2 linked regions of the Cricetulus griseus genome follow. The protein of the gene in region 1 interacts with the protein of each later gene in a pairwise test. Links are inferred from orthologs where the notes say so. Each region holds a gene or a part of one and is shown on either strand. Other genes may lie near its edges.

Region 1 (4,134 bases):
CCCCACTCCCCTACCTCCCTAGCCCCCCCACCCCCTGTCACAAGGGCTGAGTCTCTGATCTGATTCCAGGTGTCAAAAGTATTGAGCTTCTTTTGAAGAACTGTGAAACTATCCTTGACTGGAATTTTACAATGATCAATGTGAACTTAGAGAATTCTGAAAATATTACACCAGTGAAGAGTTCTCATTTTAATCCCTTATAATTCCTATTAAACCATCATGTGCCAACTAAGCCACAGAATTCTGCTTCTAGGCTTCCCATTCGAGAGTGATGGCATCACCACCCTTGGGTTACATCACCCAAGGCACCTGATGGCTCCTGGAGTCAAATCAGCACCCAAAGCCCTAAACATCTGCGGAGTTTGACTGCAACGTCTACAGCAGCTGCTCTGCTGATCTTATGCTTGGAAAGAACCGATGCTTTCAACCATCATCCCTCAAGCAGGTTTGGCCTACCCCATACTGGCTGAGACCACAATACTCCACCATTGCTTATGAAAAGCCCTGAACCCAATGCACCAGGAGGTTTTAGAAAACATCACCCAAAGGTAAATCTATTGAGATTTTTTTCTAATGATTTGGGTAATACCAGAATCTCTTCTAAACAAACACAACAGCACAAAGGACTACAAAAAATGTTATCTAGAAAGGACAGTTACTTTGGGTGGGACAAACAGAGTAATGCTTTCACTGTTGCACTGTCGTTCTGAGCCATCCTATTATTCCTAAAGGCATCTTAGGGCTTTTGTTTTTTGTTTGCTTGCTTGTTTTTTTAGCATCATTTGGGAAAATTAGTCACTGATGAAGTAACTTCCAGGGTAGCTAGGGCTGTTACACAGAAAAACCCTGTCTCAAAAAACAAAACAAAAAAGAAAAGAATTGTCTATCTGTCTCTCAACACCCTCAAAGCAATATGGCATTGCTTCCTTGGACCTTTGACCCACTCACAGCTCAATGGAGGGAAGTGATGTTTTGGAAAAACTGGGGTTTTGGTTGTTGTTGCTGCTGAGCATAATAAAATCTACAATTTTCCTCTTTCAGCCACAGTAGCAGAGGCAAAAACTAAAAGAGAAAGGTGATGCATGGAAGGCCAGCTGGTGTATGGTAGGCTTAAAGTGAAGGACCTGATGATATACACCGAGGTTTTCGATGATATCCTACTAGCCAAAGTTCTTCAAACCAACATTTTTCTATTTAGTAGGAGAAACAAGATTCTTCATGGCCCAGAAGAACTTGGTCCTGAGGCATTTTTAGAAAAGTCCTGACCACCATCTCTCACTAAGAGGGTGTTACAGTTTCCTTTCACAGCTCTATTTGTACTCCAGATTTACTGTGGGGGTTTGTAGAGGCCAACTGCAGACAAACATAAAAGAAAGGTTACCAGAAGGAACTAGTAAAGTAGACATTTTTTAAGATCAACTACACTGATTATTTAATGTTTATAAGCCTAAATAAAATTCTCTTTAAATAAGGAACAAAAATTGATACTCTCTCACCATTATCCTAAACCGCTCAAGTTATTAAAGATACTATATTTGACCAGGGAAATTAAAAAAAAAAAAATACTGTCAGAACCCATCGGTGGTAGTTGAGATATGGAATCAATACTGTGTTTTGATGACCCAAGTATAAGAAAAAACAAAAGGCAGTGATGTGCTAGAACAGAGATATATTTGAAATCTTCACAATGGTTAAAAGTCATGGATACACATTCTAGTCGATGAGCAGTTATCACCATCAGATCCGGCAAAAAGGGGGGGGAGGGATTAAGGGGGAAATGATATCATGCTCATTTTCAGGGACTGCCTAATTTAAAAGTGCATTTAATTGTTAATCAGCCTCTTCTTGTTCATGAGTTTGAAGTCCTCTTTAATGGTTCCAGCACATAGCTAAAATTGGCTTCCAAAGTTAAGTAACTTTGGTTATAATGGAGTGACTGTTTACTGAAACTTCTAGTCATTCCACTTCCTCACTTCCGGACATACACCACTGGGTCAATAATACTCACGTACCACGTAAGACCTACAAGTTTAAGAAACTAAATTGTTAACAGGATGGAAAGAAACATTTTCAGTCCTCAGCCTTAAATCGAGAAAATGAGTGTACAAATCTATTTAACGTATCATCTTTACCTTTAAAAAGCACAATTTACCAGGCCAACGGCTATTTTAGTGTAACTTTCGTTTTCAAACATTGCTCTTGGCGTAAAGCGTGCATGTTAAGAATTTCAAACACTACACTTTCTAAGTAATTTACCAAAGGGAAAAACACCGCTATATGTCTGAAGCCAGGACGAGAGGATCCCACACACTCACGGCTCCCCAACTGCACTTCGAAAACTGGAAACTTTCCACGACCCTAGCCTCCCTCCTCCCGGTATTAGAAGGAAATCTTCAAGGCAGAGCTGAGTCACCAGACCTCCAGGGACAGTTCCTGTACCCACACCCGCTGCAAGCCCCGTCCCTCCCAGGCTCTCCCCGCCCCCTCCAAGAGCCAAGGCTCAGCCGCTAACCGTTGTAGCCTCGGGTCGGTGCCCGCCCCGGCCGACCTGACGCCGCCAAGGACGCGACCAAGAACGGCCGAGTGCGGGTTGGGGGACCAGCCAGGCTCGCCTGGTGCCCCGAGCAACTTCCTGGACCTGCGGGCCCTCCCGGTCACTCACCTGCACCGAGGACGCGCTGCTCCAGCCGCTCGCTCCCTTGAGGCACTGAACTAGCGAACCTCACGGCCCGCCCAGCGCGTCATCGCCGCCCCCGCCTTCCGCTGCGCAGGCGCAGGCACAAGCGCCGTTCCCATGACAACGCGGCGCAGCCCGCCCGAGCTTCGGGCCCAGCATCCTCCACCAAGACCCCGCGCCCGCTGCCTTTCCCTGGGAGCCCCCGCGGCTTTTTACTACCCTTTGTTCCCAGAGCGAATGCTCATTGGCTGTTGACGATTACTCTCGGTATCGCACAAAAAATGAAAGCCACATCCTCATCTAAAAACACAGACTGATTTTGGCGAGTTGATGATGCCGATACGAGAACTCAGCTATGGTTTTTGGTCGACGTTAATCTGCGAAACCAGCACAACATTCCATGGCAGAGGCCATTACCTGAACGTTTCCTAGTGACGGATAGTGACAGCATTAACATGCAAGCAATTGTCTAGCTAAATTATTTAGCGTCACAGAAACTTGAAATTTTATCTCTAGTAACAAATAAAACAATAAGCACGAAACACATGACAAATATAATGAAAATTTGAACTTGGGAGGTCTTATGGCTTATCTGATGAGGAACTTGTAAAAATACACAACTGAAAAGGAAGAAATGCAGCTCTGTTCACAGATGGCATGGTTATCTATGTAAACAAAATAAACAGTATTAAGTAGTTACAACAAGGTTGCCTGGATACAAAGTTAATATACAAAAATCAATTACTTACCCATCTGCCCCAAATGAGCAATTGGAATTGGAAATTAAAAATACATCAAAATAAAATACTTAACTACAAACCTAGTTGATTGTAGTGTCTGTATGAAGGGAATCCCTATGATTCCCTATGATTTGAGGGAATCTGTGCCTGCAGAGACAGATTGTCTGATTAGAATTTCTTACTGTGGAGAGGTTGGGATGTTGCAAGTTGGGAGGCATGTTTACCTTAAGTTGGGCTAAACTCCGGCCCTCCAGAACAGCCGCCATTCCTTGCCGCCTGTGTACAAGCTAACATCCTGTGACATTGAATTAGCCAGCAGCTAGCTTCAACCAATACAAAATCTCAGAAGACCTTCAGAGAGCATCTTGAGCCTACAGAAAAGCTTCCCAGTATCCATGTATCTGTCTCTCTGATGTACCCACTATGTGTTTTACACTTGCCTTGATTTATGAATTTCTCTCTTCTGTAAAAGAACTACATGAAACTGCTTCCACGTAGGAACACTGGGTTTGGGGTAACCTAAATCTGTGCTCCCTGGCCCTGGACACTTACTGAAGGGACCAGCTCCCCATTTCAGCAGCGATGACAGTAATACGTGCTTGCCATGACCTTGTCCTAGTCACTAGAAGTCAGATGCCTGCCTCTCGACAAGGAACCAATCAGAAGTTAGCTGGTGGCGCTATGCTTTATGGCTCTGGTTGTGCTTTACGGACAAGT
Region 2 (4,277 bases), on another chromosome or scaffold:
CTTTTTTACTTTGCATAATCCTGTCTCTTAGGTAAACTCTTGTTTTTGAGAAAAGATTTCATGTAGCTCAGGCTGGCTTTTTTTGGGGGGGGTTTCCTTTCTTTTTGGGGGGTTTTTCAAAACAACGTTTCTCTGTCTCAATTTGGAGGCTGTCCTGGAACTAGCTCTTGTAGACCAGGCTGGTCTCGAACTCACAGATATCCATCAGGCTGGCTTTGAACCTGATTCATGTACACAATGCTGGTTCAAACCCCTGCTTCCACCTTGTAATTGCCGGAATTACAGGTATATACTACCACACCCAGTGGTGTGAAGATATTAAATACTGTACCTAAAGTCACTTGCCTATTTAGTAGCAAAGCCAGTATTTTAACTTGGCCTTTAAGCTATACCCATAACTATCCACTCTACTGTGTATGTTAGAGTTCTCAACAGAAAAGCAGGATCACCTTTCTCCTTGAGGCACCAAGGTATGAAATTGTATTTTTGTCTTCCCTGGGCTGGGGCTTGCTCCTCACCTGTTCATACTGTTTTGTTTCTCAGCTACCTCAGAGAAGGCCTCAGGCCTGTGACAAAGAGAAGATCCAGGTCAGAGAGTGAAGAGAAACCTTTTAGCAAAATAGCTGTTTCCAAATGTCCTCTTGGGATGGCATAACCTCACCACCCCTACCCCATTCCATAGCTAAGATGTTACCACACCTAGAAGCTAGAAATTATCCTACCAGTGGCCCTCCTTCTGCAGAGAACGGACATGGTTCTTGCAGAGCACAAAAGATATCTCAGCCTTCACTTTCTCTCCCTCTTCAATAGGGTCAACAATGAGGAAGTCCCCTGTAAGTGACAAAAGATAAAGGCATTCCCATGTGAAGGAGAAAATCAAGAATCAAGGTCATGGTTCTGTACTGTACAGGGATGCCTCTAACCTCTTTTGATCCAGATGTTCTTTCGGTATTTGGAGGGCATGCTCACCAGGAAGCGCTGCCCTTGTGCCGTCTCTACCTCATGCAGATTGTTGCCGGGAGTCCTCAGGACCTGGTGCAGGAAAGATCAAGAATTAGGCACATCACCAGTTAGATCAAGCACACACTGACCTGCACTGAGCCCTTCCCACATCCCAGGGGTCCGGTGGGCGTAGAGAAAAGCTGAGACCCATGCTCTCACCTTCACTATCTGCTGTTGGTCTGAGGGCACCATGTGCTCTCCCAGCACCTCCTGCACCACGTGTTTTCTCTTGGTGGCCTGAGACATGCTGGGTTCTGTCCAGGGTTGTTAGGACGCAGACAACGTCAGCTCTTCCAGAGTTATGTGGATGGCAGTCTTAGAAGCCAGGACTGCTCTCAGGAGAAGCAGCCTTATAAGAGAAGTGCCACCTTGCCCTGTTAAAAACAAGAGCTTTACAGGACTGGCGACTTGCTGCTCTTGTAGAGAATCTAGGTATGGTTCCCAGCACTCACAGAAGCTACAACTGACCCTACCTCCAACACCCTCATTTTGAGACATACATGCAGGTAAAAACACTGATAAACATAAAAAAAAAAATCACTAAAAAACAAGGCACGTGTTTAGCCAGATGCTGGTGTATGCCTTTATTCCTAGCACTTGGTATGCAGAGGCATGCAGATATTTGTTGCGTTCTAGGTCAGCCTGGTCTACATAGTGAAACCCTGTCTCAAAAATGAAGCAAACATGACGTTTAAGGGCCGGAGAGATGTCTCAGGACCCAGCACCCACATCAGTTGGTTCACAACCATCTCTAACTCCAATTCTAGGGGAATCCAATGCCCTCTTCTGGCCACCAAGGACACCTGTAACACCCACACACAGTAAAAGAAACCAGGAAACATGTCTTATAGTCTTACTTGGAAGAAAGGGGGATGGCTCAAGCCTTAAATCTCAAGACTCTAATCCCAAACCACAGAGGTAGACGAAAGCATATGGAGGCCAGTCTGGTCTACGTAGCGAGATATCCTCTCAATAACTAACAAAAAAAATGTAAATAAGTACTGACGTGACGATGAAACCATACGCACCTCCCAGGCCGATCATTCTGACAACCTTTTGTTTGTTTTTTCCGAAACAGGATTTCTCTGTGTAGCTTTGGAGCCTATCCTGGAACTAGCTCTTGTAGACCAGGGTGGTCTCGAACTCACAGAGATCTGACTACATCTGCCTCCCGAGTGCTGGGATTAAATGCTTACGCCACCACCGCCCGGGCTGACAACGTCTTTGGGGAAGTTTGAGTAAACTACTTTCCTCCACATGCTTTAACACCCCCAAGTGTAGGTCAGCCATACAACAGATGCTCGTCCTCCTAACACTCATGGTGTAGACTGACTCGGCCACCACCGCAGCGCTTCAAGCCGAAAAACCCTTCGAGAAAAGAGCCGCCCACAGCACTCACCCGCTCGGCGTTACACAAGCAAGCTACGTTTTCCAGGTAGACGCTGAACGCAGCTCGTCTACGACTCACTTCAAGACGGAGTCAACAAAAGCAAAGAAATGCGACTGGCAGGTGGTCACGACGGTCGCGCCGGTTTGGACGCCTGGCCTCAGACCACCGGTGTTCCCAGCTGCCGTCAGCCGGCTTCAGATAGACCTGACTCTGAGGAACCCGCGAGAATTGCACTTCCGGGGCTCTCAGTAGCCCTCCGGATGCCCCGCCCCTTCTTTGTCCGTTCCTTTAGTCTTCCCTCGACCAAGTCAGGCCACCTAAGTCTTTAAGTTCCAGGTGCTGGGCAAGAAAAAGATAACAGTATTCTCCTCGGAGGCCTCGGTCTCATAGATGGGAAGCGGGGCCGGAGAAACACGACCATAGAAAGCAGCGCGGCTTCCTGTGAGGGACCGGAAAACAGCGACCTCTGTGGGCTCCGCAGTTAGCGGTTGCGCCTCAACTCTATGGCTCTCTGTGGCTAGACGTGCCCAATTCGGGTATTTTTTTTTTAAAGGCGGCTCCTGACACGACCCGGAAGCGGAAGTTGAAGAACGTTCTAGCAACTTGAGGTATCGGCTGGAGCTGCCGAGTGGCGGGAGGAGCCGTTACGAGAGCCGGAGCTGCCGGTGAGCGTGAGCGGCGAAGTAAGGCTCCGGCTAGGCGGCGGAGGCGGGAGGGAGAGGAGCGCCCGTGGCTGAGGCGCGTCTCTGCAGCGGACCAGCCTGGCCTTGCGGGAGGGGCGGTGCGCGGAGCGTGGGAGCCGCGGCGCGTGCGAGCCGCGGCGCGTGGAGGAGGCGGGGCGGCGCGTCCGGGGCGGGGCCTGGGAGCCGCGAGGCGTGGGCTCCGGCGGGCTGCGGGAGCCGGTGCGCGGCGCCTGTTGGCCTGTGGAGGGCGGCGAGGGTAACGAGCCCCTCTTTTTGCTGCTATTTCTACCACGTGGTAGCTCCGGTCGGGGTCAGTGTTTGCCTGGCCAAGGTCACCAAGAGTGACAGCTTCAGGGCGGGCCCTGGCTGCTGAGGCTGTGAGTCTTTCTCTACGTGCGCCACTTGTTAGTGCAAGCTCATTACCAAATCCCAGGGCCCACAGAAAGTGGAGATTTCAGGATGTAATAGCGGGGGAAAGACTTTCCCTGGCCCCCAATTTTCTCAGGTGTGAGATGAGGGGGAATCGAGGAAGCAGCCACAATAGCTGACCTAGGAGGTTGCCCTTGGGAGTTGTGGTCTTCAGCCCTAACCTGCCTTTTTTTGGGATTCCCAGGTTAAACCTGATCAAGATGACAACCTCCCAAAAGCACCGTGACTTCGTGGCAGAGCCCATGGGGGAAAAGCCAGTGGGGAGCCTGGCCGGGATTGGTGAAGTCCTGGGCAAGAAGCTGGAGGAAAGGGGCTTTGACAAGGTGTGGGGTGGCCACAGATGCCAGGGAGGGGTAGGAGTGAAAGTTGGCAACAGATGATTCCAAGCAAAAAAATTGGGAGTTAGGAAAAGTAGGGGTACGGGGAGGGCACGGACAGTGGTAGATAATTTGAAGTGGTTTGGGGGCATCTGGGGAGGCAAAGTCATTTTTGTTGTTGTTTTGGAGACAGGATCTCTGTCTCACAAGTGCTGGGATTAAAGGTGTGCCCTACTGTGTCCTACCCTTTGAGTGTTTTCAATGCCACAAAGGTGATGAAACTAGGTATAGTGGGTCCTCCCTATGACCCCAGCACTTGTGAGATTGAGGCAAGCAGATTCTCATCTAGTTTAATGCCAGTCTAGTCAACAAAGCAAGACCCTGTCTTAAACAAAACAACCAAAACAAAATGGCCTTGCCCTCTCAAGTGCTTATCAGCTGACTTGCCTAGCTTCA

What was found.
Region 2: the proteins of Sdcbp (region 1) and Eif1ad interact in binary tests that used the Homo sapiens proteins (3 or more experiments, as listed by UniProt). The two-hybrid records come from large-scale screens. The link is inferred for Cricetulus griseus from reciprocal best matches to the Homo sapiens genes SDCBP and EIF1AD.

What each region holds. Positions count from the first base shown.
Region 1 is NC_048595.1:154,160,616-154,164,749, forward strand, and holds the start of Sdcbp (syntenin-1), read right to left. Parts: upstream 2,802-4,134; 5' UTR 2,663-2,801; intron 1-2,662. UniProt on the Homo sapiens protein: Multifunctional adapter protein involved in diverse array of functions including trafficking of transmembrane proteins, neuro and immunomodulation, exosome biogenesis, and tumorigenesis.
Region 2 is NC_048596.1:53,963,709-53,967,985, forward strand, and holds the start of Eif1ad (probable RNA-binding protein EIF1AD), read right to left. Parts: upstream 2,805-4,277; 5' UTR 2,402-2,804; intron 1,979-2,401; 5' UTR 1,860-1,978; intron 1,377-1,859; 5' UTR 1,249-1,376; coding exon 1,162-1,248; intron 1,033-1,161; coding exon 924-1,032; intron 832-923; coding exon 723-831; intron 567-722; coding exon 519-566; intron 1-518. Other genes in the region: Banf1 (barrier-to-autointegration factor), read left to right, coding at 3,705-3,827.